Linked DNA regions of Pelodiscus sinensis. The protein of the gene in region 1 interacts with the protein of each later gene in a pairwise test. Links are inferred from orthologs where the notes say so. Each region holds a gene or a part of one and is shown in the gene's direction. Other genes may lie near its edges. The genes, in order: BEND7, EAF1, PPP1R37 and PSMF1.

What was found.
Region 2: the proteins of BEND7 (region 1) and EAF1 interact in binary tests that used the Homo sapiens proteins (3 or more experiments, as listed by UniProt). The two-hybrid records come from large-scale screens. The link is inferred for Pelodiscus sinensis from reciprocal best matches to the Homo sapiens genes BEND7 and EAF1.
Region 3: the proteins of BEND7 (region 1) and PPP1R37 interact in binary tests that used the Homo sapiens proteins (3 or more experiments, as listed by UniProt). The two-hybrid records come from large-scale screens. The link is inferred for Pelodiscus sinensis from reciprocal best matches to the Homo sapiens genes BEND7 and PPP1R37.
Region 4: the proteins of BEND7 (region 1) and PSMF1 interact in a two-hybrid assay, tested with the Homo sapiens proteins (2 studies listed by BioGRID and IntAct). The two-hybrid records come from large-scale screens. The link is inferred for Pelodiscus sinensis from reciprocal best matches to the Homo sapiens genes BEND7 and PSMF1.

Annotation. Positions count from the first base shown.
Region 1 is NC_134711.1:14,014,476-14,022,051, reverse strand, and holds the start of BEND7 (BEN domain-containing protein 7), read left to right. Parts: upstream 1-4,570; 5' UTR 4,571-5,170; coding exon 5,171-5,231; intron 5,232-7,576.
Region 2 is NC_134712.1:181,744,163-181,751,435, forward strand, and holds the start of EAF1 (ELL-associated factor 1), read left to right. Parts: upstream 1-4,252; 5' UTR 4,253-4,283; coding exon 4,284-4,386; intron 4,387-7,273. Other genes in the region: tRNA N(3)-cytidine methyltransferase METTL6, read right to left, coding at 2,720-3,001. UniProt on the Homo sapiens protein: Acts as a transcriptional transactivator of ELL and ELL2 elongation activities.
Region 3 is NW_027465849.1:7,336,492-7,344,391, reverse strand, and holds the start of PPP1R37 (protein phosphatase 1 regulatory subunit 37), read left to right. Parts: upstream 1-4,896; 5' UTR 4,897-5,510; coding exon 5,511-6,072; intron 6,073-7,900. UniProt on the Homo sapiens protein: Inhibits phosphatase activity of protein phosphatase 1 (PP1) complexes.
Region 4 is NC_134728.1:2,474,254-2,481,121, forward strand, and holds the start of PSMF1 (proteasome inhibitor PI31 subunit), read left to right. Parts: upstream 1-3,868; 5' UTR 3,869-3,974; intron 3,975-4,012; exon of another isoform or gene 4,013-4,153; intron 4,154-6,868. UniProt on the Homo sapiens protein: Plays an important role in control of proteasome function. Inhibits the hydrolysis of protein and peptide substrates by the 20S proteasome. Also inhibits the activation of the proteasome by the proteasome regulatory proteins PA700 and PA28.

The DNA of each region.
Region 1 (7,576 bases):
AGCTGGGCTCTTGTTTGGCTGAATGATCTGACCAGAGCTGAATGATCTCCACACAGTGCTGGGGATGGGATGCACCCCGATGGGAGTTAGGTGGGGATATGAAGGAGCATCAGGGCTGAGGAGATGATGGTGCACATCACAGAGGACAGTGAGAGGGGAGGCACATAAAGGGTCAATGAGGTGACATGTAATTGGCCACTGCAGTGAGCAGCCAGTGCTGGCTGGAAATGAGTGGGGGTTAGAGGGGAGCCTGATGGCCCAGAGCTGGCACACAGTAGAGACTCCACTGATGGACCATCAGTGGGGACTGGCCAGCCTTGCACGCTGCAGCTTTGCCCAACCACCAGTCTTGTACATCCACCCTATCATCAACTACTTGATCCCCACCACTTATCACTGGCCTGTGGTTGGCTGGCTAGCAGGAATTCAAAAAGCAGTAGGACCTACCAGCACTGATGAGAGGGGAGAGACAGAAAATAAGGGACAATTGCAAAGGGGGGGACAGAAGGGGTACTTCAAAGTGGCAGCACTGCACAGTGGCACCACTACTTTGAAACCCCAAGGTGGCATTTCAAAGGCGCAGACGCTGCACAGATGATTTGCAGATCAGCTGTGCGACAGCTGCCCCTTTAAAATGCCACTTCTGTGCTTTTCAAAGGAGCAGCTGGGGAGCCCAGGGGTCAGCTGGGGACTCCCAGTTGATCCCGGATTCCACGCGGAACTTCCCCGGAACCTGGGATCAGCTGGGGAGTCCCCAGCTGATTCTGGGTTCCACATGGAAGTGCCACGGGGAGCCCAGGGTTAGCTAGGGAGTCCATAGCTGACCCCGGGCTCCTAGCAGCATGAAGCATAGCATGGAGCTTGGGGTCAGCGGGGGACTTTGAGTCCCCTGCTGACTCTGGACTCCATGGCTTTGAAATGCACAAGAGCCCCTGCTGGGGACTGTTGTGCATTTCAAAGCAGGCACAGCTGTGTGCGGCCCGGAGTCAGCGGGACTTCCCGCCAGCCCTGGGCTGTACGTGGTGTTCCATATTCCTCCTTGGAACTCTTGTACATTTCAAAGGAGGAATGAAGAAGGCCTATCAACTAGTCAATGGACATTCCATTGACTAGTCAATTAACCGCATTTTAATATCCTTAGTTGGTCTAGTTGTGATCAAGGTAGTTTTATTGTGTGGTTTGGTTTGAACTGCTCTGTGTAAATCTATGCCTCCCCTCCACATTTACTATCTCGCATTGTGCCCAGAAACTTTTCTCTGTGTTTTGTTTTCCTTACTTGCTCTGTAACATCTAGCAATCAAGTATGCCTTATCAAGTCTATCTTTTGTTTTCTAATAAAAATCACTTTTTTAAGGTGATAATTTGATTCTTGAGTCCTGAAAGGTCTGTTTGTCTGTGTATTTGCATGCCTCTGACTGAGAGGTCAGCTACCAGAGACTGCAGCTTATTTTTCTATTTTCTTTTTTCAAGCTCTTTTGGGAGCTTAGAGTACCCCGGGGGTGGGTTCAAGTGTTCACCTCCAGTTTTAGGGATAAAAAATAACTTGATGGTGGCAGTTTGTTTACTTCTCAGAGCCAGGGAATCTGTGACTCTGGGAAGTTTTGGTAACCAGTGCCTGTAGAGGCAAGGTTTTTAAGCTCTCTCGAGGGCCCTCACCTTCTGCACTTGGAGTGCCAGAGTGGGGAACAGCTCTGACAAAGGGTCACATGCCCCTTAATGCCATTGGGAGGCAAGCGACGAGCTGCCCGCAGGCAGATCCTGATTTGTCCAACCGCTCTAGGCCCTGCGCTTGGGAGACCCTACAGGGCCCAGGCAATCTGGAGCACTGGTGGGGTATGATGCCAGCAGCAGTGGTTGCTCCCCCCGCAGCAGTAGAAAGTAGAGCAACCTGCCACCAGCCTATACTGCTCCCCCCTTGGGGAAGGGGAAGGGGAAGGGAAGGGTTGGAACTGCTCCCCATACTCATCCGCAGTGTGAAGTGGAGGGACATGTGTGGAAGCCAGATGAGTGGAGTGGGCTGGATCACTCCACTTCCCATGCATTCACTTGTGAATGCAGTGTGTGTGTAAACCAGGGAGAGCTTCTCTTCTGAAGAACTAGGTAAGCTCAAAAGCCTGTCTTTCTCCAGCAGAGGTTCATCCAATAAAAGATACTACCTCATCAACCTTGTCTCTTTAATACTACAGTACACAGCTTTTAGCGACATGGCTGTGTCACTACAGCTGTGTCACTAAAAATCAGGCAGTATAGCCAGTGTTTATTGGCTCTTTTGCTGACAAAATGCTTCCACAGCCAGCAAGTAGCATTAACTTTATTGGCAGGACAAAGTGCTGTTCACACAGGCACTTGTTGGAAAAACTTGTCTTTCATGGACAAGAGGGTCATTTAACACCTCTGAATGACAAAAAGTTTGTTGTTCAGTTGTCAGGATAGACTTAGCCTTAGACCATGATACACTACAAAATTATGTCAATTTAATTGATGCTGCCACACAGCTACTACAGTTACTAAATCACGTGGGCTACGTCTACACTGGCATGATTTTCCGAAAATGCTTTTAACGCAAAAGTTTTCCATTAAGAGCATTTTCGGAAAAGCACGTCTAGATTGGCAGGATGCTTTTCCGCAAAAGCACTTTTTGCGGAAAAGCATCCGTGGCCAATCTAGACGCGGTTTTCCGCAAAAAAGCCCCAATAGCCATTTTCGCGATCAGGGCTTTTTTGCGGAAAACACTACTGTGCTGTTTACACTGGCCCTTTTGCGCAAAAGTCTTTTGGAAAAAGACTTTTGCCCGAACGGGAGCAGCATAGTATTTCTGCAAGAACACTGATGATCTTACATGAGGTCGTCAGTGTTCTTGCGGAAATTCAAGCAGCCAGTGTAGACATCTGGCAAGTTTTTCCGCAAAATCACATGATTTTGCGGAAAAACTTGCCAGTCTAGACACAGCTGTGGATTCTTGCATCAGTGATGCATGTTCTCACCAGGAATGCTTGTATCCATTGTATTGTCAGTGTGGGGCATTGTCGGACAGCTCCAGAAAGCCAGTGATAGTCATCATAAGCAATTTGTTGATATAATTACATCGTGACTCTGCACTGCTCAGGGAGGTGCTGTTATTAAATGGGTGTAGAAACATTTACATCAGTAGAAGCCAAATTTAAGTGACGAACACTTCCACAGCTAATTTGAGGCAAGGCAGGTTACATTAACCTACCCCGTAGCGTAGACCAGGCCAAATGCACTTAAAGTGACTTAACCTCCAGTGTGGATCCACTGGTAGCCAGTACTGGCATAGTTGTATCCCCATTAGGATGGAGGCATAATAACTATTCTGGTTTAAAAACCCAGCCCTCACCGAAATAGTTGTTCTGGTACAAATATGTATGCAGATGAGGCCTAAAAATGAAAATCAAGCAGAAGCATTCCTTGCTTTTAATTGAAGCCTGGTGTCCAGCAATGTTCCCGTAAAGATTTCCCATCTATGGCGGAATAAATTTTGTCCTGTGCACCAAGACATATGCAGATGTGTACCACCAACAGAAACACATGCTGCTGACTGCGGTCAGCTGTGGGCACTCTGCCAATCAACTGGGTGGCTGTCCAAGTGCTCTAGGGCTGTGTCTAGACTGGCAAGTTTCTCCACAAAAGCAGCTGCTACATTGCCAGCTGTCTACATTGGCTGCTTGAATTTCCGCAAGAGCACTGATTTCCTACTGTCTGAAATCAGTGCTCCTTGCGGAAATACTATGCTGCTCCCGTTCAGGCGAAAGCTTTTGCGCAAAAGGGTCAGTGTAGACAGCCCAGATTTGTTTTGCGTAAAAAAGCCCCGATCGTGAAAATGGCGATCGGGGCTTTTTTGCGCAAAAGCGCGTCTAGATTGGCACAGACACTTTTCCGCAAAAAGTGCTTTTGCGGAAAAGCATCCGTGCCAATCTAGACGCTCTTTTCCGCAAATGCTTTTAACGGAAAGCTTTTCCGTTAAAAGCACTGGTGGAAAATCATGCCAGGCTAGACGTAGCCTAGGTGTGTTCTGCTGGTCTGAAAGGGGTTGTCTTTGATCCACAGCCTGAACTTTACTTAAGATGGCAAATCCTTTTAGCAGAGCTGGGGGCATGGCAGGAGGCAGCACCTGACCCTCATTCTAGGCTGCGTGAGGACAGAGCCTGCATCTTCTGCCTTAGCACTGCAGGCCCTAGATTCCCTCCCCTCTCCTGAGGAAGTAGGGTGGGGTGTGCCCCGTGGGCGCACTGCAGGCAGCGCACCCTAGGCTGGGGGAACACGGCCCTGGGGGGGGGGGGACCCAATGCCACCAGTCTGCCTCACTAACACCCAGTTCTGGAGCCAGGCGGCGGCGCTGGCTGGCGCCCTGCGCCTGGGGCAAGCACCCAGCCCGGGGGGCGGCCCGCGGCTCCAGGGGGCCGCGGCAGGCGCCAGCTCGCGCCGCGCGCCTCAGGGGACCGCACAGGGGACGGGTGCACAAAATGGCGCCGCCCTTGCGTTCCCTTCCCCCTCCGAGAGTCAGATCCCGATCCCCCCCCCTCCCCGAGACCTGCCCCGCCCCGCCCGGCCGGCAGCGGAGGGGGAAGAGTCACCTCGCCGCCCTCTCCGTTCACTACCATGAGGCTGAAACCGCTCCCCCTCCCCCCCTCCCTTGGGGCCCGCGGCCGCCGCCGCCGCCTCGGCGTGGCGTGGGGCTGCGGGCCGGCCTCGGGGTGGCGGCCTGCGGGCCAGGCTCCCTCAGCCACCACGGGGCGCGCTGTGGTGCGCGCAAGCTTCCCCCAGCAGGTGGCAGCGGGGTCCCAGGCGCCGCTGAGGCAGCGCCACACGCCCGCCGCCGAGCGCTGCTTCCCTTGGCGGTGGTGGCGGCGGCTCCCGGGAGGCGGCCGGCGAGCTCCCCGCACGCAGCCGGGGCTTCCCCGGCACCTGGCGATCTGCCCCCCGCAAAGTTTGGGGTTGGCCCCGGGAGGTGGGGGAAGGGAGCCCGGAGCCAACTTGTCCCAAATCCCCGCTCCGCAGTTGGAACTGAAATCTCCCAGCCCCGGTTTATTTTTGCTGATTAAAGGGACGGACCTTGGTCCTGCGGCTGGGTGGCTGTATAGCCTCCCACTCGCTCTGTGCCATCCCCTTTCTCCTTCCTTTCTTCCTCCTCCTCCCTCCTGCCCACACCATGGAGTTTACGGAGAGGAAGAGGAGCAGGAAATCCCAAAGCTTTAAACTGATCAACCAAGGTAAAGTGGTGCCGGTGGGGGGTAGCGTGGTGTGTGACTTTTTGTTGTTGTTCATTTGTCTCTCCAAAGGACTTTCGGCTCAACGTAGCTGGCTTTCAAAGGAGAAGAGCAGGGTGTTATGAAATGTATGCTGCTTTCCCTTCCCTCTGTCTCCTTCAGTGTCTTTCTGTCTTTATGATTTAACTCCTTGGATTTGTTTTTAAACCCCCTCCCCAATGACAGCACGGTTTTCAAGGCAGATGGTCTCCAAAATAAAGTTGGATCGTAATTTCCTTGTAAACCCCGAGTTAAAAAAACGAAGCAGGAAATTAGTAAAATAATGGTACTTGGGGAACAGAGAAGAGAGCCCTTTCGGTATTCAACTCCTGTAGGGTTTTTTCCCCTGTTGATTGCGCACATACACGTATTTCAAATAAAACACTAATAGAGGTTGTTTTTCTTTTTTAAAAAGGCAACGCAGCCAATTAATTGTACAGAGATAAGGAAGAATTCCTGTCATGCAACTTGTTCGCTCATTATGTATTTGCTTTACGAAAAGAATAGGGTGATTTAAAAGGGATGGTAAAGACTTGTATTTATGTCGGGGGGAAACAGACCTTTCTGTTTAGATCTAAAAATCGTTGATGGTCATTTTCACAGGTGAGCTTTACAGCCTTAGTGTTTTATTTAGGTGGGGATGTGGACTGCTACTCCCACTGATTAGATCTTTTCCTCTCATTGATTTGACTTCCGTGTTTTAAAGTATTGAACTGAAATATCTCCATGAAAAGCTGTGTGTGTCCAGCATGCTAAGTTCAAGGCAAGTGACTTCTCTGGCATAATGTTACACACTTTTTCTTTAATGTGTCACACTTGGGCACTTTTAGGCATCCCTCTTCAGTCACTGTTGGATGAAAACAAATGGGAAGCAAAGGAATTTAAACATGAAAATAACTTTCGGGAAGCTAATGAAAAATATTCATTATGAGCATTGGACATAACATACTTTCTTAATCTAGAGGAATACTGTACTGTCAGGTCAAAATTGGCCAAAAATTAGTGTAGATTTTATAAAAGCAAGTATTTGCAAACATAAGGTCAGAAGAAATTAATCTGGGATTTAAAGTTCAAAAGGAAACTTTTTGAGAAACAAGTATTCTTCTGCACTGCTTATAGTATAAGCACTAGAACAGTGGTTCTCAATGTGTGGTCCATGGACTCCTGGGGGTCTGCGATAGTACTCTAGGGGGTCCACAGAAAACTTAGGAAAGGAAAAGTAAGGATTGGGCCACCACATGACTGGAGCTTTACGCCAAGTGATCCTCACCTGGGGCGTGCACACACTCTCCCCCCCCCCTTCGTTCCCACAATGGACCCCAAACCTTACTTTTCTTTTCCTTTTCTCTCCCGGGGCTCTGTGCCTGGCCAAGGGCAGAATGCCAGGGCAGGAGCTGCCTTTGGCCTTGAGAGCCCCCTTGCAGTATCCTCTGTGGATGGGCAGGGAATGAAGCAGCACAGATCAAGGGATGTGCTGGTTGCCCCTTCATGCCACTCCCCTTGGAGGTCCATAACATTTTAGCAGATTGAAAAGGGGTCCGTATGCTCGAAAAGGCTGGGAACCACTGTGCTAGAGTATGAGGATCTGAAAGTGAAACTGATTAGTTTGTATTTCCAAGTTGAGAAAACTGTTAGATGTGCAGAATAACTCAAATAGTCAAAAGTAAATTAATATTTTACAAGCATTTAGTCTTGACATGTCATTTGTAACATAGATTAATAATTTTGTAATAATACTTTTAACTATTTTTCACTGGTGATTTAGCTTGTGTTTCACTTGTGGGTTAGCTGTTTTTTGTCTGAGAACCCTTCTAAATTATAGAACACTAACAACACTAAATGCAATTTTGGAAAAAGTGGTGTTTTGATTCAGGGAGAACAGAGAAGATAAAAAATGTATTTTAGCAAAGTAAGATTCAGCTTTTATGTATGTCCCTCCTCATTTCCTATGCAAATTGATTACAAAGATCATTGAGTATAAATAGGTGTTTCCCTGCTACTCAGCTTTTGCTTCCTGCTTGAGTCATTCACTGTCAGAGTTTAATGTTTACTGTGAAGATATTGATAGTGATTTCAAAGCCTTGGACTAGGACATTGCAGACAAAAGAAGGGGGCCAAAGGAGACACCCACTGTATTGACTTATATTATGTAAATTATTGTCATTTTTACTGTATACTGTACACCCTACATCTTCTTTCATCCCACTGAATCTCAAAGCAGTTTGTCATCATAATGAAGTAATTCAGACTACTGTATATATAAAATTGTGTATTCTTCCACTGAAATGCAGAAACTGATACAGCAGTCA
Region 2 (7,273 bases), on another chromosome or scaffold:
TCACACTTTAAAGTTAGGATCAGCATTTCAATTATCCGTCTAAAATCTGATGGAACCTGTCACTCGCAAAGGGCACAGCAAAGTATAGGCTTTCATTTAGATCACAGTAAGTTTCTCTTTAGAAACTACTAAAAACTCATTATTGATCTACTCATTTCAGCAGTGATCAAATTAGCAGAAACCCTCACCATTCGTGGTATATACAAATGGCGAAATTTGCAAATACTGGGAGCTATGGACCCTGGCTCCTGGGGGAAGCTCCCCGTGGCTCCCTAACAGGAAACTCACCATGGCTCCCGGCACCTCAGCGAGTTCCCCACAGCTCTTGATCACACCATCCCCTTCAGGTCAGGAATGGAGACCCCATGAATATGCGGAACCCCAGAGAGCAATTCCGCGAATCACGAGGGTCTCCTGTATGCTTTCCTCTATGCCCTGGCCCTTTTGTAAAAAGGGTGAACAAATGCATTTGAATATGATTTTTTTAAATGTATATTTTAATGCTTTGACTATTCTAGATAGTCAACTTTGTAACAGGGTGCAAAATTTTGAGCAACTTGTGTTGGAAAAGAGAGAGAGAGAGAGAGAGAGAGAGAGGATCTTAGATCTAATTTAGGACACTAAGCAAGTGTTCTAGAGCAGTGGTTCCCAAACTGTGGCGTTCAACTCCATAAAGATTGCAGAGCAACATATGGCAGGTCCCAGGTGAGTTGAGGAGAGAGCATCACACTGCCTTACTCAGCTCCCCAGCTCCTCTCCAACCAGGGCCATACTTAGGATTTATGGGGCCCTATACAGTACTATTAAACTGGTGTCTCTATGCCCAACAGCATTTGGGGAGGGAGATTTCTTTAGACACATGGTTTTAAAATCTTCAGCAGCACACTAACATATTTTTATAGAAAATTTTAAACCAAGATCCTGTAGACCAGGGCTACTCAACTTTGGAAGCCTCAGAGGCCACAATAATACAGCACATGCCGAGGGCCGCAACTTAAGTGTCGTTGCTTATACATGCAAATTGCTTCTTTCACACGGGTTGGCATGAATACAAAGCACTTCCCACATTCCCCAGGACTCCCGGCACCTCCTCCCTGGGGGCTAGAAACGCCAGCCCGTCCGCTTGCATCTTTCAATGCTCACCCCACCTGGCAGACGCCTTGCCATTGTGGAGCGTGTTCCCAGTGGAGGTCATGTTCAAAGATTCCCACCTGCAGGCCACGTGTTGAGCCCCGCGTAAACCAAAACTGCACTGCAGGCCGCAAACATACAGGCCATGGGCTGTGTGTTGAGTAGTCGTTCTATAGACTCACACAGTACATTCAGAACCTGACAGTACATACTAGGGATGTGGAAGTTTAACCAGTTAACTGGGAAGCATCACCCTAAATTGGGGGGCAGGAGTAGCTCCCCATCTGTTGTGGGCAGGGAGCTGCTCCAACCCCACCGGGGGCCCATCGTGGACACAGTCGGGGAGCAGTCCCTGTTCATGGGGAGCCCAGGCACCCCACAGGCAGGGACTGTTCCAGCATCCGCAGAAGCCTCTGTCCATGGGGGAGCCAGGCGCCCCACAGGCAGGGGTTGTCCAGAGTAGCCTCTGAGGAGCTCGGGCATCCCACAAGCAGAGCTGCTCTGTGAGGGCTGGGTGTCAGCATCAGCCCCAGCCCATGTGCAGGGGTAGTGAGCTGGCAGATCCAGACCCAGTATGATGCTGGGAGTGGGAGCCCTGTAGGCTGGGGGCTGCGCCAGCCAGGCTGCAGTGGTCCCCAGCCCTGATCTCACTTTAGTCAAATAACCAATTAAATGTTAGGCTAACCTAATGTTTAACTGATTAAGTGGGATTTTACATCTCTAGTATATACCTGGGGTTGGCAAATGCCTATTTAATGGCTTCATTATTATCTGAATGGCTCTTTCACAGGTTCAATGTGCTGCTAGTAGGTCTGACATGCTTTTTCACTTTTAAGTGAACTATATCCTCTATGGAAGAAGTAGAGCCACAGAAGAGGAATAGGAGGAGGCAGTGGGTAGACATTAAGAACCAGTGGTGACCCAAATTTTCAGGTACTCTACACATCTGTGTATTCTAAGTATAGGTAAGGATGGGTCAGTCTCCAAACTCTGCCCCAGCCTCCATTCCTAGCCACAGCTGCTGCTCCTGGCTTCCCCCACAGCCATACCCGTGGTCCAAGCTCCACTCCCACTCCTGGCCCAGCTCTGTCCGATTCCCTCTCCAATCCTAAACCATGTCTGGCTGTAGCCTCAAGGTCCTTTCCCCTTTCCAATGCTGCCCCCAATTTTGCCTTCCACCCAAGCTCCTCTGCTGAGTCAATGATGCAGTAATGTGGGGTAGAGAGAGAGTGTGGACAAATTCGATTACTGGTAAGGGGAGGCACAATAGGAAACGTTTGGGATCCACTGGTCTAGAGAGTGGGTCTGAATGTAAAATACAGATCAATTATAATATATTATTCAAAGATTTTGTAATAGGTTTTGGTTTTTTTAACTTTTGAAACTTTCAGTTGGGTCTTGACGGTGCCTCCTCTTGGAGACAGGGAGGGGAAAACAGGATGAAAGGACCAATCAAAAAACTCTTCAATTTTTTTATATCTTAAAAGTCATGGAAGCTATCAACTCCACAACATTGTGCACTTGGGGTATGTCTACTTCATTAGTAGTATTTGTTCCTTTATTTGTAGAATTAGTGTATATGGCTCACCTCCCGACATGCTTTTAAATCTTCAAACTCCCTAGTTGTCCAATGCCGATCTTTAAAGAAGTTTGTGCTGTTTCTTTTGTAAAACAGATCCCAGTTCTTCTGTGCCTCCTTCTCTAGTTTCAGTTTTTTGAAGTCAGACACCAAAACTTGCTCTCTTGCCAGTTTCTCAGCTTCTTCAGAGCTAAGGGTCCTTGCACTATGCCCTTTCTTTTGGAAAGCATCATCTTCACAAATTGGAGATACTGAATTCACATAATTATCAGATGTATTTTCTTGGGACATCCTGGATTAATCCACAGGAATACAAACACAACAGATTTAAAGTGGTTTTTTCCCCCCTCATGTATTTATTGCCATCTTTCATTTCAGATCAGACAACCTGGAAACATAAGAAACAATGAGAAAAGAATTATAGTTTGCAGTTCCTGTACCAGAGACTCCTCCCCAACCTCTCCCCCCAGGCAGCCGTCCCCCACTTCCTTCCCCAAACCCACCCTGTACCAGAGACCCCCCCGCCCGCCTCCCCAAACAGCCCCTCCCTGTACAGAGACCCCCCCGCCCGCCTCCCCAAACAGCCCCTCCCTGTACAGAGACCCCCCCGCCCGCCTCCCCAAACAGCCCCTCCCTGTACAGAGACCCCCCCGCCCGCCTCCCCAAACAGCCCCTCCCTGTACCAGAGACCCCCCTCGCCCGCCCCCCCAAACAGCCCCTCCCTGTACAGAGACCCCCCCCGCCCGCCTCCCCAAACAGCCCCTCCCTGTACAGAGACCCCCCGCCCGCCTCCCCAAACAGCCCCTCCCTGTACCAGAGACCCCCCTCGCCCGCCCCCCCAAACAGCCCCTCCCTGTACAGAGACCCCCCCGCCCGCCTCCCCAAACAGCCCCTCCCTGTACAGAGACCCCCCCGCCCGCCTCCCCAAACAGCCCCTCCCTGTACCAGAGACCCCCCTCGCCCGCCCCCCCAAACAGCCCCTCCCTGTACAGAGACCCCCCCGCCCGCCTCCCCAAACAGCCCCTCCCTGTACAGACCCCCCCTCGCCCGCCCCCCCAAACAGCCCCTCCCTGTACAGACCCCCCTCGTCCGCCCCCCCAAACAGCCCCTCCCTGTACGAGACCCCCCCCGCCTCCCCAGACAGCCCCTCCCTGTACCAGAGACCCCCCCGCCCGCCTCCCCAAACAGCCCCTCCCTGTACAGACCCCCCCTCGCCCGCCCCCCCAGACAGCCCCTCCCTGTACGAGACCCCCCCCCGCCTCCCCAAACAGCCCCTCCCTGTACAGACCCCCCTCGTCCGCCCCCCCCAAACAGCCCCTCCCTGTACAGACCCCCCCTCGCCCGCCCCCCCAGACAGCCCCTCCCTGTACGAGACCCCCCCCGCCTCCCCAAACAGCCCCTCCCGCTCTCCTAGCGCGGACACCGAGTCTTGCCCCAAACTCCGCCCCCTCTCCCGGTTCCTACCCGCGCGGGGCGGGGCGGGGCGTAGGCCGGGCCGGACGGCTTTGGCGGTGACACGCGGCCCCGGAAGGGAGCGGAGCGGGGCGGGCGGGGGATCCGGCGTGGCGGGGGCATGAACGGCTCGGCGAACCCGCTGCTGGACAAGGAGGAGCACGCGCTGCAGCTGGGCGAGAGCTTCGAGCGGCGGCCCAAGGCCTCGTTCCACACCATCCGCTGTGAGCGCCCCCCCCCTCGCGGGCACCCCGCCCCGCCCCGGGACTCGCCCCGCCCCCGCACCCCCCCCCCCCAGTGTCACGTTCGATTAATCCGCTAATCGAGTAGTCGATGGAATTTCCATCGGGACTGGGCTAGTCGCTCAGGGGGCGCCGCCCTCCCCCGGCGGCTCTTGCCCGATTGGAAGGAAGAGGCGCAGCGGGGACCCTGTGGCGTGGGCGCTGCGTCCATCCCTGCTCCCACCTTCACCCTCGCCTGCCTCTGCCCCTCCGCGGAGACGGTGCTGGGGGAACGGCTTTTAGGTTTGCTGCCCCCAGCACGGCTCCTGCTACCCCCCCCCCCCCATCCCTTGGTGCCTCTGATATAAGCCTAGGCTTTTTCGGTAGTCAACTAGTTGCTTACATTCCTTACCCCCCCCCATGTATCTTCCTCCTTAACCTACCCAGCTCCCCTAAATCCTCTCTGAGCCCTAGCCCCTCACTCTCCAGTTTCCCCTGCCACCACCCCAACTCTTGCGCACACCCCTTACCAGCTCCCCCTCCACTCTCTCTGCTCCCCTTTCCTAGGTTCTTGCCAGTTCTGTGGAAAGCAGCAACTTTCCGTTACAAATTTAGAGGGAGGGGGGGAATAAAGTGAGGTTAATCTGAAAGTAACTCAAAATTATGGGAAGGGGAGAGCGCATGCGCACAGAGGGCAGCGAGCTTCTTAGTGAATGTCAGATCAGATGATGTATCAGTTTAAATATTATACTGTGAAAGATGCAGGACTATGGTTTCACCTGAGAGAGTCTGAAAGAGGGAAACCACAGCCACCCAGTTTCTTAAGATTTATTGAAATGTCTATCAGAATCCTTCAATACAATGTAAAGAGCACAACATGTTGTCCCCTATTCCCTCCAGGAGGAAGCCTCTATCTCTGGATGAGTAATATTTAGCCAGTCTGGAAGATGAGTTTTGAAAGTTTTCAGATGATACCAAGTTTGATAGCTAAGTTTGCAGATACCACAAAGCTGGGAGGGGTTGCAACTGCTTTGGAGGTTAGGGTCATAATTCAAAATGATCTGGACAAATTGGGGAAATGGTCTGAGGTAAACAGGGATGAAGTTTAATAAGGACAAATGCAAAGTGCTCCACTTAGGAAGGAACAATCAGTTTCACACATACAGAATGGGAAGCGACTGCCTAGGAAGGAGTACTGCAGAAAGTGATGTAGGGGTTATAGTGGACCACAAACTAAATATGAGTCAACAGTGTGATGTTGCAAAAAAAGCAAACATGATTCTAGGATGCATTAACAAGTGGGTTGTGAGCAAGACAGGAGAAGTCATTCTTCTGCTCTACTCTGCACTGATTAGGCCTCAGTTGGAATATTGTATCCAGTTCTGGACACCACATTTCAAGACAGATGTGGAGAAATTGGAGAAGGTCCAGAGAAGAGCAACAAGAATGATTAAAGGCCTAGAGAACATGACCTATGAAGGAAGACTGAAAGAACTGAGCTTGTTTAGTTTGTAAAAGAGAAGATTGAGAGGGGACATGATAGCGGTTTGACAAGGTTTCACAAGGAGGAGGGAGAAAAATTGTTCTTCCTGGCCTCTGAGGATAGAACAAGAAGTAATGGGCTTAAACTGCAGCAAGCAAGGTTTAGGTTGGACATTAGGAAAAGTTCCTAACTGTAATGGTGGTTAAACGCTGGAATAAATTGCCTAGGGAGGTTGTGGAATCTCCATCTCTGGAGATATTTAAGAGTAGGTTAGATAAATGTCTTTCAGGGATGGTCTATAGTACTGGGTACTGTCATGAGGGCAGAAGACTGGAGTCGATGACCTCTTGAGGTCCCTTCCAGTCCTAATATCCTATGATTCTATTTTCTCAGAGTGCTTCAAGCTTCTCTGTTGGGGAAAATAGTCTACTTTTGCTCTTTTTTGCCTCTTACTATTAGGGATGTGAATGTTTTATCATTTATGTTTAACTGGTGGGAGCTGGAGCCTGGGAGCCTCTGTAAATGGCAGATAGCCTTATCTAGCAATAACATATTTGAAACAAGTTTTTACTAGGGGGCTACACCCTCTGCTCGCTGCGCTCTCCTACCCCCCTCTCTCTGGCTACTTTTGCTTTGCTTAGAGAGCTTGTTGACGCTGATTATGTCATTTTGTCACCCAGCAGGAGCATTCTGTCATCCAGCAGGAAAATCTTTTTTATATATAGAGAAAGATTTGTAATTCAAAGATTCAAAAATATACCCACCATTACCTCAAATGAGCAAAATTAGGCTCTTCTAGTGATAGAAGTCCTAGAAGTATACAGCTAAAAATACATTGGGGTTGTATCATTCTCACTTGCTTATAAGTCACTTTAAAGGACAATATCTGAAAGGATGAAGACAGTGGATCATATCTTCAGGAGAAACTACAGCTTTTGAAGTATTTAGAATGTAGTCATAGTCTGAAATAGCTTCAGATCAGATTATGCACTTTCTAAACTAGAATATTTTTTGTGACCACTGGACCTGAAAATTTAACCTGGGATCAGTTATACTGATTTTCCCTCCTTCCGGCATACCACTGTAAGATCTTATAGACCAAAATTCTTCTCTCCTTTATAACATCCAAAAACTCATTTTCATCATCTCTTGGCTGTGAGGTTCTATAGTACTTGGACAGTTTTATATGCTTCTTAGCATATATGCAGTGTCTTAGGTGGCACGTGACCAGGATCCATGGCCCCTTCCCCAAGTCTGCCACTGCCGCTGCTGAAACTGACAAGTGACAGAGCAGAGCTGCTGGGGTGCTGCCGGGTTGATCCCGCAACGCCACCGCTCACCCCCCTGTTCAGCTCCAGGCAGCACCCCAGCTGCTCTGCTCCGCCCTGCCGCTTCCCCAAGTCTGCC
Region 3 (7,900 bases), on another chromosome or scaffold:
TGGGTGGCCCCGCCCCCGGGTGCCCGGCAGCCCCAAAAGGTTGGGGTCCACTGATCTGTCTGATTTCATTCACAGGCCTTAATGTGCTAGGCTCTGTGCGCACAGAACGTGCAACAGACAGCCCCCGCCCGGAAGAGCTCACTATCTATCCAGATGAGGGAGGGAGACTGAGGCAAGGGGAGGGGAAAGGTTTTGCCAAATTCACAGTCCAGTGAGTGGCAGGGCAGGGAACACACCCCAGGGCTGCAGTCCAGAGCTCTACCCACTAGGCTGTGCTGCTTCTCAACCCAAAGGGAGGAAAGGAAGACAAACCTAGGGGGCACTGACGTCACATGGGTTACGCACAGTTGGCCCCGCTCGTGCTTCTCAAGATGGAACGAGATGGGGGTTGGGGTTGGCTCCTGATGACTGGAGCTGAGGCTGGGCCTCCCTCCCCGGATGAGTGGAGAACGGTGGGAGCAAAGCGAGGGGAACAGCCGTACTGGCGGCCATGTCCCAGCCCTATGGTGCGCAGGGCTGCCCAGTGTGGGGAGGGATCGGCAGCACTGATGGGGCAGCTGCCTGTTCTGTGATTTGCTGCGGAGCAGCCTCCAACGTGGGGCTGGGAACCCAGTGCCCCTGTGCCTCAGGGCTGGACGGGCCCCGTACATGGGCGCAAACCCCGGTGGGTTGGCAGCTGGTGACCACGCTGGCCCTTTATGACAGTGGAGGCTCAGCGGTGACAGGTTTAGCTGCGGTCCCAGGTGAAAGGAAAGAGGGATACAGGGAGCATGCGACTAGGCGTGTGGCCTGTTGGGAGACACAAGGGCCGCCTGGGAGCAGCATTCAGCAAAGAGCGATTCCAGGAACAGTAGTATAGGGCTGTCACGTCACGTCACTTTATGACAGGCTAAGTGCAAACCTGGGTTGTGCTGAGCATATAGGAAGAGACGCTGGGGAGGAAAGACAAAACAGGCTGCACAGTAGGGTACATAACCCCATTCTTTAGGTAAATAACCCCATTTTTTAGGGCCGTAGTACCGGAAACCCCCAGAAGAGGGTGGCTTTTAATACTCCTTCCCTCTTTTGCAACTCCCTGTATTGAATTTACAAGGAGGAAAGTGTGAGAGAAGGGATGTGATTTAACTCCTGTGTCAGACCAAGTCTGTCCCCTAGGTGTGGGAATTGTGGGTACTGATGGGGGTGCTGCAGCTCCCCCAGTTTTTGTGCAGGGTCCTGGCCACCAGGCTGTGCTCAGAGTCCCTGGTGCACCTGGGAGCCTGGCTGCAGGACTCTCCTTCCTGGAGCACTGTTCCCAGCCCCACATGTGGACCCTGGCTGCAACTGGACTTGCACCCACAGCTCTGTTCACAGCTCCTGGACTCTGTCTGTGGGGTCCTGGCTGCTCCTGGCCCTGCACTGAGGCTCTGTTCCTGGCCTCGCACATATGGCCCAAGACATGGTCCCTTTACCCCTCTGCATCCCCCACCCCCCAAGAGCTACAGGCCTGCTCCTGGCCCCAACTCTGGGAGGTGGAGGACACAGACAGGAGTAAGGGGGTGGGGTGAGGTAAAAAGTCTGGGGTGGGCCCCACTGGCTTTCAGGAGACCCGCTATAAAAATGTTCCAGTTTGTCCCACAATGCACACGCCCACGTTAAGGCCTGCAAAATCGAATGCTGAAGGCAGCTCCAGTTGGCGCCGGTGCTCCGCACAGTCTGGAGGAGGAAGGGACGCCGACGGGAGCATCTGGTCCCATTGGCTTCCCACTGTGAAAAAGAAGCCAAGCTCGGATTAAGGTACGCCGACTCCAGCCACGTATTTTATGTAGCTGAAGTCGCGTACCTGCAGCTGACCTTCTGGCTCCAGTGTAGACCTGGCCTGAGTCCTGCAATGCCGTGGGGCCAGGGTTCACTGGCTCTGGATGGTGCTTGTCATGGCAGCTTGCTTTCTCTTTAGCAGAATGAAGTTGTGATTTGAGGCCAAAAACGTGCTGGGTCTAGCCGGATCCTTGTGCCAAACGTATATTTTCCATCTGCTGCTCTAGAAGCCTGTTTTTTTTTTTTCTGGTCAGCTGGATTAGAAAGTTTATTTTCTTTATTGATGGTTTATTGATTGATGGCTTGTGACCAAGAATGGGTAAGATCCAGCTGGCTGTGTAGGTGCTAAATAGGTGGTTTTCTGTGGGGTGCATTGAGATCTGCATTTTTCAAATTGCAAAATACCAAGTGTGAGCAGGATCTGAAGGAATGTGTCCCTTATAGCTAGTTGGAATGGGAGAGAAACCCTGGGTGTGTTTATTACGTAAACACCGCTTGCTCCTGCTTTGCTTAGATTTGCTAGTCAGCAGATGGAGTGGTATTGCGCTCATTGTAATCCACGTCATTTGTAGCCCAACACCCATTGGCTACGTCTAGACTGGCATGATTTTCCGCAAATGCTTTTAACGGAAAAGTTTTCCGTTAAAAACATTTGTGGAAAAGAGCATCTAGATCGGCACGGATGCTTTTCTGCAAAAAAACCCCGATTGCCATTTTCGCGATCGGGGCTTTTTTGCGCAAAGCAAATCTGAGCTGTCAAAAGCTTTGCACAAAAGGACTTTTGCCCGAACGGGAGCAGCATAGTATTTCCGCAAGAAGCACTGATTTCAGACAGTAGGAAGTCAGTGTTCTTGTGGAAATTCAAGCGGCCAGTGTAGATAGCTGGCAAGTTTAGTCTTGCTAGTCTAAACACAGCCATTATGTTTTCCAGGTATCATAAGGGTGTCATAAGGAGGAGGGAGAAAACTTGTTCATCTTGGCCTCTGAGGATAGAACAAGAAGCAATGGGCTTAAACTGCAGGAAGGGAGGTTTAGATTGGACATTAGGAAAAAGTTCCTACCTGTCAGGGTGGTCAAACACTGGAATAAATTGCCCAGGGAGGATGTGGAATCTCCATCTCTGGAGATATTGAAGAGTAGGTTAGATAAATGTCTATCAAGGATGGTCTAGACAGTGCTGGGTCCTGCCATGAGGGCAGGGGACTGGACTCAATGACCTTTCGAGGTCCCTTCCAGTCCTAGTATTCTATGATTCTATGTTTATACGAAATGCAGGGGGAGCTGAAATATGGTTACTGATGTTTTTAGTTTTGGAGGACTCCAGAAAAGCAGGGCTGTGCTAAATTGTTCCACATGAAAGAGCTCACAGCAGAAAGATTCTTGCAAATGTAGGGGCTTGAGTGTCAGAGCTCTGAGGGTAAGAGAAGGTTATCCTGGTCAGGAGGTGATGTGGTTTCCCCTGCCTGGACTGGTTTGACCTAATTCCTCCCACTGTTCAAAGAGCAGAGCTAAATAGACATCAGTAGGTGCCTCTTTTCTTATATTAATTGTGTTGGAGTTTAAAGACTAAGGGGGTAGCCTTGTCCTGACTGCTCATTATATAGAGGGTTTTTTTTAGGCTCTAAGACCTCGTTTCTCAAACTGTGGGTCACGAGCAACTTAGAGGAGGGTCCAGTATCAGAAAGTTTGAGAACCTCTGCTCTAAAGTTACGTCTACACAGCAGCATTATTTTGGAATAACATCCGTTATCCCGAAATAACTATGTGAGCGTCTACACAGCTAACCTGTTCTTTCAAAAAAAAAATTCGAAATAATGGGCAGCTTATTTTGGCCTTTGTAAACCTCATTTCATGAGGAATAACGCCTGTTTCGAAACAGCTATTTTGTTCCACTGCTACTATTTCAAAATAGCTCCTCCCCAAGGCATTCAAAATAATTACTCCCCATGTACAGATTGACATACACTGGCCACACACACAGAGGCTATACACAATAGAAATGTAAAGTGGACACACACAGCAGCAGAGACACACACACTGGCCACACACAGCAGAGATGCACACAACACACACGGATACACACACAGGCTGTACACACCAGACACACACACACTGGCTACACACAACACACATGGATACACCCACCCACACCAGAGACGCACACAACACACATGGATATACACCCACCCACACCAGAGATGCACACCACACACATGGATACACACACCCACACCAGAGACACACACCACACACATGGATACACACACCCACACCAGAGACACACACAACACACATGGATATACACACCCACACCACAGACACACACTGGCTACACACAATACACATGGATACACACACCACACCCACACCAGAGATGCACACCACACACATGGATACACACACCACACCCACACCAGAGATGCACACCACACACATGGATACACACCCACACCCACACACTGGCTACACACCACACACATGGATACACACCCACACACCCACACACCGGCTACACACAACACACATGGATACACACACCCACACCAGAGATGCACACAACACACATGGATACACACACCCACACCAGACACACACACACTGGCTACACACAACACACATGGACACACACACCCACACCAGACACACACACACTGGCTACACACAACACACATGGATACACACACCCACACCAGACACACACACACTGGCTACACACAACACACATGGACACCCACACCCACACCAGAGATGCACACAACACACATGGATACACACACCCACACCAGAGATGCACACAACACACATGGATACACACACCCACACCAGACACACACACACTGGCTACACACAACACACATGGACACACACAGACACACACACACTAGCTACACACAGCACACATGGACACACACTCACACAGGTTGCACACACCAGACACGCGCAGCAGGGACGCGCACGCGCACATGGACACGCCCCCCACTTAGGGACGCCGGGGCGGGGCCTCGTGACATGTGGCGGGTCCCAGGGCGACGCAGCCTGCGCTCGGCCCCGCCCCCGCCGCGGACTTAAAGGGCCAGCAGCCCGGCGGGGGCGGGCCAGGCTGTTTGGGGCGCATCACGTGAAGCTGACTATTTGTCCGCGGCCTCTTTCATTAGTAGCAGCAGATTCGCGCCTTGTTTTCGAGCCCCAGCGCGCGTCCGGCGCCTAGGGAGTAGGCAGCCGCCTCAGGGGGGCGCATCCTCAGCTTCCCCTCCCCCCCCGGAACGCGCCCCCAGTGCCGCGCCGAAAGTGCCGCGCCGAAGCCTCAGCCGCCTTCGCCCGGTGCTGGCGGGCTGGCCGCCGCCGGGTGCGTGCGACGACTCGCAGCGGCTGATTCGCTACGGAGACGACCCTTTACCGGAGCGTCCCGCGGCGGCCGGCCGGCCCTGCCCGCGAGGCCAGGCGGCGGGATCTTCCCCTCCTCGGTGCCGCGGCGGCGGGCGGGGCCCCGCGCCGGGCGGGCGGCCGCCGCCCGTGGCGAAAGTGCGGGCCGCGGATGGGCAGGCCGCTGGCGCACTCCGCGGGCGGCGGCTTCTCTCGGGTCCGCCGCGCCAGACCGCGGCTGCGCTCGGCGGCGGTTCCCCGGCGCGCGGCCTCCCCTCGCGGCCCAGCCCTCAGCCGGGCCTGCGCGGGCGGGGCGGGGGCGCCCGCGGAGTGATGCCGCCCGGGCCCCCATGAGGCGGGGAGCCATGGAGCGCGCGCCGCGCCCCCCCCGGCAGCCGGACGCGGAGCCCTGCGCGGGCGCGGAGGAGGCGGGGGGCGGCCGAGCGGGGCTGCAGCCCCCGGGGGGGGCGGGCTTGGCTCGCCTGGAGGAGGCCGGGCGCCCCCCCCCGCCGCCGCCCAGCTCGCAGGCGGCGGGGGGAGGGGCCGCCCCTGCCGCCCGGGGGGGCTCGGAGCGGGGAGCGGAGCCGTCGGAGCGGGGAGAGACTCTGGCCGGGAGCCACCCGCTGCAGGAAGCCGCCTCGTGCCCGCCTGCGGAGCGGAGCAGCGCGGCCGCCGACAGAGGATGCCCGGAGGAGGAGGAGGAGGAGACCTCCCTGCCGCAGGGGAAGCCGGCCTCGCCGCCGTCCCGCCGCGGTGCTTTGGACTCCGACGCCCCCAGCCCGCAGGGCGACCCGCGCGTGGAGCCGCCGTGTGAAGAGGGCAAGCTGAAGAATGGAGCAAAGCGGGTCACGTTCCCTTCCGACGAGGACATCGTGTCTGGGTCTGTGGAACCGAAGGATCCCTGGCGACATGGTAAACTTTGCAATTCACTCGCGCTCTTCTTCTCAGGCTGGTTTGTGCAAATGGTATATTGCCTGAATCGTCCTTAAAACACAACACAGAGACAAGCACCTTAAACAAAATACAGGGCTATGTAGCACTTTATGTAGCACTTTGAAGACTAACAAGATGGTTTATTAACCATCTTGTTAGTCTTCAATTCACTCGCGCTCTTCTTCTCAGGCTGGTTTGTGCAAATGGTATATTGCCCGAATCGTCCTTAAAACACAACACAGAGACAAGCACCTTAAACAAAATACAGGGCTATGTAGCACTTTATGTAGCACTTTGAAGACTAACAAGATGGTTTATTAACCATCTTGTTAGTCTTCAATTCACTCGCGCTCTTCTTCTCAGGCTGGTTTGTGCAAATGGTATATTGCCCGAATCGTCCTTAAAACACAACACAGAGACAAGCACCTTAAACAAAATACAGGACTATGTAGCACTTTATGTAGCACTTTGAAGACTAACAAGATGGTTAATAAACCATCTTGTTAGTTTTTAAAGTGCTACATAGTCCTGTATTTTGTTTCAGCTACACCAGACTAACACGGCTACATTTCTATCACTAAGCACCTTAAAGACTAACAAAACACGTCGATGAGATCGTGAGCTGTCCTGGGTGCAACCCACTTCTTCAGATGACCGGAGAAAGAAGTGGGTTATGCCCATGACCGCTCATGATACCAACATGTTTTGTTAGTCTTTAAGGTGCTACTAGTCTACTTGTTGTTTTTTTAAGTTTTTCCTGTTACAGACTAACTTGGCTACCCCTCTGAAGCTTCTGAATAGTCCTGTTAACTTCAGTGAGGATCTGTCCGCGTGTTAAAGGGAATTGTTCCCAAATGAAGCAGAACACTAAATTGCTTATGTTTGTGGTATAACAGGAAACTCGGAGATGACTTTTCTATAAAATGTTTAAATATGCTTTAAACAGAACTAAGCAGTTTGTTTCAGATTTATACAGCTGTACTACCCATTTGGTCCTTTGAGTGTACACAGGATCTTTATAAAAATTAGTCAATAGTTAAGAGGAGTTTTGACTAACATTAAAGACTAACAGATTTATTTGGCCATAAGTTTTCGTGGGCAAAGACCTACTTTGACTTTGTGGTTCTTTACCCATGAAAACTTATGTCCAAATAAATCAGTTAGTCTTTAAGGTGCCACAGGACTCGTTGTTTTTGCAGATAAAGACTAACAAGGCTACCCAATCAATAATTAGAATCCAGTGACAAGAACTGAAAGCTAAACTGATATTTATTAAAACTTAAAATACAATGATGGTCCTGTAGCACCTTAGAGACTAACAAAATATATGAGTAGTGTCCGGAGCTTTTGTGGGCACAGCTCACGTCTTCAGATCCATATTTGTTGTCTGAAGAGGTGTGTTGTGCCCACGAAAGCTCATGATAATATTTATATATTATTATTAGTCTCTAAGGTGCTGCAGGACCTTTGTTGTTGAAGTTTTTTTTAATTTCAGGCCAACATGGCTACTCCTCTGTGATATTTATTAGTTATAATATGCCGGCCTTTTAATGTAAATGGCCATTCTGCACTGTTTTAAGCACTTTCCTGATCCAGGTGTCTGTAGGACTGAAGATTTGAAAAAATGTAACTTTGTCAGTAGCACAACTTTTTCACACTTTGTAGTTGTTGAAAATAATACCCTTGTTTAGCAGTCCTCATGTTGTTGTTGTTTTTTTTTCTTCTGATTTTTGCATGACTGACTTAGGAAACAAGCAAACTTGGTCTCCTGGAAATGTAAAGAAATAATGATCTCTCCACTTCGTAA
Region 4 (6,868 bases), on another chromosome or scaffold:
TTATAGCAGGGAGGGGAGAGGTTTGGCTCTGGGGAAGGGACGGAGAGGAGAGGGAAGGAGGATTGGGTTGGGAGTACAGTATGCCGCTGTGACGGGTCTTCCGGGACCCACACTGCGTCCGTGCGTCTGACGAGGGGGGGGTCGCCGGGGAATGGCGCGGCGAGCGGCGAACCCTCCGCCGCTTTGCAGGGAGGCGGGGGAAGCCCTGCGCAGCTGTCGGCGACAGGCCGGCTGGGGAAACGGTGTTATTTCAGGGACGGTCGTGTTATTCAAAAAACGTTCCCCTCAAAAAATCGCGCTATCGTGAAAACATGTTAAGTGGGCACGTGTTAAACGAGTAATTACTGTAAAAGGCTTCCCCTCAGGGGAGGAGGGGGAAGGAGAAGGGTGACTGACGGGAGACGGGGGAGGTGCAGCGTGGAGGGGAACTGAAGGCTACAAGCAGGAGAGGCGTCACCAAGGTGCCAGGAAAAGGTGCTATGGGAGCTATCGGGGAAGTGGCCCTGGGAGAGGCTGCTATTCTGTGGGGATAAGGACAGGAGCCCACTAGTGGCTGCTACCTAGGGCCCTGGGCTGGAACCTGGAGTAAGGGGAGGCCCCTGACTCTCCCCACGCCCGGGGGCTGCCACTGGGGTAAAAGAGGAGCCTAGGACCACGGAAGGGGTTTTCCCGCACGCTAGTGACTGGCCTGCAATGAGAATGGCTTGTTAGGTGGGGATACTTGCCGGTGGGAGGGTCACCGTGCGTCGGGGGCAAACTAAAAAATCCACAGTGGCTGCCAGCTACATTCCACATCCTAATGACAAAAAAACCAGCCAAAGGGCACTTAGGCTATGGCCACACTCGCGGCTTCTTGCGCCAGAAATATGCAAATGAGGCTGAGCGTGGAATATTGCCGAGCCTCGTCTGCGTACCTAACGAGCCGCCATTTTCGCAGAAGAGGCTCTTGCGCCAGAAGGAGCTGTCTACACGGCCCCTTCTTGCGCCACAAAACCCCTCTTGCGCAACGCCGTTCTTCCTGAAAAGTGATCGCAAGAGGGTTTTGTGGCGCAAGAAGGGGCCGTGTAGACAGCTCCTTCTGGCGCAAGAGCCTCTTCTGCGAAAATGGCGGCTCGTTAGGTACGCAATGAGGCTCGGCGATATTCCACGCTTAGCCTCATTTGCATATTTCTGGCGCGAGAAGCCGCGAGTGTAGACACAGCCCTGGTCTCTCCCTGTCTGCCCTAGCGCGGGGGCCGAAGCAGCCAGTGCTCACCTCAGTCTGGTTTCTTTCCCCACGCTCCTCACGGCAGAACCCAAGTGCGGGCCCATAGCACACGCAGCACCTTGACGGCACGTGACCCAGGGGGAGATGCCCATGCAATGGAGCCGCTTGTTTTGGTAGGGGGTTTTGTTTTATTCGGGTGTCTTCTGCCCCCTGCTGGCAGAAGGAGACACCTTCCCCGACCCCTCAGAGCTGTCTGTTGTACCTCTTCCTACCAACACCCTTCTTTTGAGTTCTCCTGGCCCAGCATGGGGCCTTCCGTGCAGGCAGGCCGACCTCCTTCCACGGAGCCGCTGGCCCAGCACTCAGCCCTGCTCCTCATCCCTATTTCACTCTGACTGTCCCCGCTCCCCTGGGCGGGACGTCTGGGTTCTGACACACTGCACAACCAGGACCAAATCCCCTGAGGTCTGTGCCTCAGTTTACCCAACTACAAAACTGGGGTTGCGCCTGCCTGCCGGGGCGCTGGCAAAGTTGTGCGCAAAGCAAGCTGAGAAGGAGTGGGGAGGGGGGCTAGTACAGTGGAGGCAGCAGATCTGGCAAAGCAGTTGGACCCTACAGGGATAGGACTGAACCTGCCTCCTGCCCCCAAACCTTGGGAGCATTTAGGCTGGGAAACCTGATCTTTGCAAGGCCCTCTTTCTGTGTCTCTAACCTGCTGCCTCTTCTCCCTCGACAAGGGGGGAGGAAGTTCGGGGGCTGCAGCGGGGGCTCCCCCTCGCCTGCCTTTCTGCATCGGAGGCAGGCAGGGGGTTACCCTGGTGGAGGAGCCAGGCATGCCTCTCCTTGGGGGTACACGTTTCCTTGAGCCTTGAAACGGAGACTCACCTCCAGGGTCAGACATTCAGTCTAGCAAGTGCAGCCCCATTCGGCCCAGTGTCTTATTGGAAGACACAGAGGGCCCTCTAGTGGGCATTTGTAATTCCTGGAACAATTGCCTGTCCAGAACCAGGCCTGGTGAGCCCATGACTGTACCACCCTGAACATGCCGGATCTTGTGTGATGTTGGAAGCTAAGCAGGGTCGGGCCTGGTTAGTACTTGGATGGGAGACTTCCTGGGAATTCTGGGTGCTATAGCTCTGCCCTTTATCCTGGACACAGGGACCAACCAATCACTCTGATCTGCTTCCTGGGGTTTGCAGGTGGTGGGGAGATGAATTGAGGACAGTGTTAGATCTCCGGTCACAAGAGAGTGCCGTTCCTTGCTGCAGAGAAGTTGTCTCCTTCCAAATACAGCAATGTACCACAACCATCCTCTTGCCAGCATTTCCACCAGCCTCCTGCTGGCCTGTGATTTCACACACACTGGAGGGCACATGCTGAGAGAGACACTTTCCTGCCCAGTCCCCCTCTCCAGAGCCCCACCGTGGAATAGGGGCATTTGATTTATTTCAGGCGGGATTTGATTTGTCAGGAAAGGTCCTTTGCAGAATTTCCTTCACATGGGAGACTATTTCTGCTCCCAGGAGAATTCCAGGGTGCATCTACACTGCATTATTGCAGCTCTGGGATGGTACTCGCTTTAATCCAGCAGGCATGGCTAAAAGCAGCAGTGAAGATCCACAGATGCACAGGTTCCGGCGCAGGCTTGCAATGCAAGCACGTACCCGGGGCCCCTGGCTGTACTTGTACAGCCTGCTCTGAAACCCATTCTGCCATGCCTTCCCTGCTCTTAGTTGTGCCAGCCTGCCCAGCCTAGGGATGTAATAGCACAGTCGATTAACCGATAAGCAAAAGCTTATAGGTTACTGGTATAGACTACACACGTTTCTCTCCCCCTCCCCTGCCAGTTAATTTTTTAGCAGGCTGGCCAGCAGCCCGGCTCAGTCTTGAATCACGCTGGGTCTGGGACCTATCCCCGCTGTGGGTCTGCATTTAAAGTGTATTAGGAGCTAGGCGGGCACTGCTGCCACGCAGGGTGACAGGTAGCCAGTCTGTGAGGGGAGCTGGATTTTAAACTGCTCCCACCTAGCACCCCATGCTGCTCCCTCTGATCCAGAGGCAGCATTGCAGAGTGGAGGGGGCTCCTCGGGAGTGGGGCCGGCGTGCACTGGCTGCCAGCCCTGCCCCCAGGGCCTATAGAATAGTCGAGTAACCAATAAGAATTAATGAGGTTCATCGACTAGTCAATTAACCAACATTTAACACCCTTCGCCCAGCCATGCTCCAATCACACCTTTGATTGCTATGTAGACAGCCCTCTCCCCCCCGACTGGAGTGTGGTAGCCCCACAGCGCTGGAAGTGAATAAATACGACTTTCGAGACGGCAGGACTCCGCTACAGCTGGCTTCCTGTTCCTCTGGGCTGAACTGCTCGGGAGCAAACCGCCTCCTTGTCAGGTACGTGGTTCTCAAATGTCAGTATCCGTGGCCCCTTTCACATGGCAAGTCTCTGAGTGTGACCCCTAGGTATGGCCGTTAGAAATGATAAAGAAGCAAGGCTTGGGGGTGGAGGCTGGCAGGGCTTTCTTGCAACCTAACCCATAATAACCTCGTGACCCCCAGTCTGAGAGCCCCGGCAGAAAACAGCACGCACAGCTCCACTCTCCATCCCCGGACAGCTCAGAACCTGGAACTCAGAACTCTACAAACATCATCACTCGGCAACCTCGGGGTAAGCAGCAGAAGCTGCATCTGCTGAGTTCCCGTCACCTCCCCTGGGCAGGGCAGAACCGGGTCATTTCAGGCATGGGGGAGAGCTGCTGAAAAGGTCAGTAACAGGCCAGGCAGGGTCTGATTCTGCACCAGGAGGAGGTCCTGCTGCATTCACCAGGGTACCCGTTACTCTTCATACAAAGAGGACCTGATTCTCTGCTCGCACCGTCAGTTTTCCGCCCGAGCACGTGCCTTGATTTCAGAGGCGTTCATCTGGACAGGCACTGATGTGAGGTCAGTAGCATTCCAGGGCTCTGCCTGCTGCTCCAAGCTCAGATCAGCTGGGTTTGTAATGGAGCCAGAGCTTCCCAATGGGACTGAGGGGACGGGCTTCATTGTCCCTCCCTTAAACCACCTCTCCACCCCAGCTTGCCAGCAACAGCAGGTTCACAACTACTTGTGAAAGTCCCATCCAATGAAGCGGGATATGTGGGTGGCACCTTGGAGCAGTAAGGCCCTGGTCTTGCTCACACATATGTGGGAACTTATTTCGCAACACCCCAGAAGTGTTTGCAGCAGTAGGGCCTAAGACAATTGTAAAATAGTCACTTCTTCCTGGAATAACCCGCCCCTGCTCCCATGTACACAGCCTCAGAAGCTGGGCCAATAACAGATATTACCTCACCCACCTGTTCTCCCTAACGTATGTCCTGATCCGCCGGATCACTCCTTCCTGTTAGCTTAGCATCAGAGCGTGGTGAATCAAAGGTGCTCTTTTGTAATTCTGTCCCCTGGCAGGAAATCCTCTGATCCATTCCCTGGCAAGAATACTAGCTACATCTACACTGGCAGCTTCTTGTGCAAGAACTCTTCCAGAAGAGAGCGTCTACACTAGCCTGTGCTTTTGCACAGGAGCATCCGTGCCAGTGTAGACGCTCTCTTGCACAAGAAAGCTCCGGTGGCCATTTTAACCATAGGGCTTTCTTGCGCAAGAAATTCATGTTGCCTGTCTGCACTGGCCTCTTGCGCAAGAACAGTTGCGCAAAAGGGCTTATTCCTGAGCGGGAGTGTCAGAGTTCTGGTGCAAGAAGCCCTGATTTCATCCATTAGAACGTCAGTTTACTTGCGCAAGAACACGCGGCCAGTGTAGACAGGCAGCAAGTTTTTGCACAAGAGGGGCTGCTGTGGCACAAGATCGCGCCAGTGTAGACACAGCCTTGGGGTGTTTTGTTAGTTTTAATAGGGACTGTTACTAGGTATTCTCCCCAGTATCCATACTGAACATAACTGGAAACTAGGGATGTTCAATTGCGGGTAATCAGCTAATTGAGTAGTTGATGGAATTTCCGTTGATGGGGGAAACTGCAGAGCCGGCCCTGGGAGCTAACCCCACTGCAGCTCTGCCTTTTAAAATTCATTAAGAGCTGCCAGGCTCTTAATACGTTTAAAAAGCATAGGCACAGCAGGGACCAGGCGCAAGCCAGCTGATTCCCGGCTCGTACCCAGTCCCTGCTACGCTTCTGCCTCCTCTGCCCCATCTGCCCCCGAGATGGTGCTGGAGGGAGCCGGCTTAAAATTCGGCTCCCCAGCACTGACTCCTGCTCCCCCCGCCTCGCTGTCTCTCTCTGATAGAGGCAGCATGGGGTGGGAGGGAAGAGCGACTAGTTGATTCACTACTTGACTACCCAGTAAGTGCATGCTTATCAGGGAGTCAACTAGTCACGTACATCCCTACTGGAAAACTCCGTAAAAAGGCCCAGATCCTGCCAACACTTATGACAAGCTTCACTAGATTTCTGAGAGTGCTCAGTGAAGTGTTTGCAGGATCAGGGCCCATGCCCACCTGGCTCAATTAAACCGAAATCTGGGTGCCAGAATTAGTTCAACCCCCCTGACAAGTCAAACAGTAACTACATCAGCCTGACCAACAGACAATGGAAGTTTCAGGTTTTCCCACCAGGAAGTCAAGTGCAACCTGACTTTCCACCTCTTTTGCCTACAACTGAGTTTTCCCCATTGCCAAATGTGATTAAACTAAAATGTCAGATTTTTTTTACCCTCAGCTCCTCAGACTAAAAACAGCCTTTAAAAGCATCTTTGGGGAGCCTGTGCTTTGATGCTGGATAAAGTTTCTCCGGCTCTGACGGAGAATTCCCAGATTGACTTGGGGACAACAGAAGGGGAAAGTCAGGGAGACCCTTCTATCAGATTTGGGGCCACCTCCTGCATGAATAACTCAGGGGTGCACCACTCTCCTGGACATAGGGGAAGTGATATGACCCTGTGGTGCCCTCGCACCAGGAATATTCTTGGCCTGGAGCTGCGTCCCAGTGTTCCCTGTAAGCCGAGCACTTGGGCAGCCACCCAGGAGAGATTCAAATGGTGCCGCGCTGATAAGCAGAGCGCCCACAGTCAGCAGCAAGTGTTTATATTGGCGGTGCACATGACAAAGTTTATTCTGCACACAGATGGAAAAATTAGAGAGAACATTGCTGGGCTCCAGCAAACCTTGCCGCCTGGCCCTGCATCTCCCTAACCCTAACCCAGTCCCACCTGCTACCCCTGGGCGATTTACAATGCTTGGGGGGGGGGGGCGCGTCACCAGTACTGGCAGTGCAGCGGGGTTAGGGTGCACAGCCCCCCAGCTGCAGGGATGCACGTGTGGGCAGCTGTGGGAATAAGCAGCCGGAAGCCGCTGTAGCCACACTGAGCTGCCGGTCCCCACCTTTCAGTGTTTTAACTTGCCCAGGGATAGCAGGCAGTCTGGGGGATACCTGGGAGGAGCCGGCAGGGTGGCAGGAGGGATGGGGGAGAACACGCTACCACGGGGGCAGCAGCACCCAGTTAACCTCCACTCCTCCAGGAACCATTACCAGAGAGGGGCACCCCTATCCACTCCCCCACTTGTGTACCCCACTCCCTCCAGAGCCTGCACCCTCTTCCCCTCGCCAGCCCCCAAACTTTCTCCCAGAGCCTGCACCCAGGACCTCCACCTCCCACTCCCCCCTG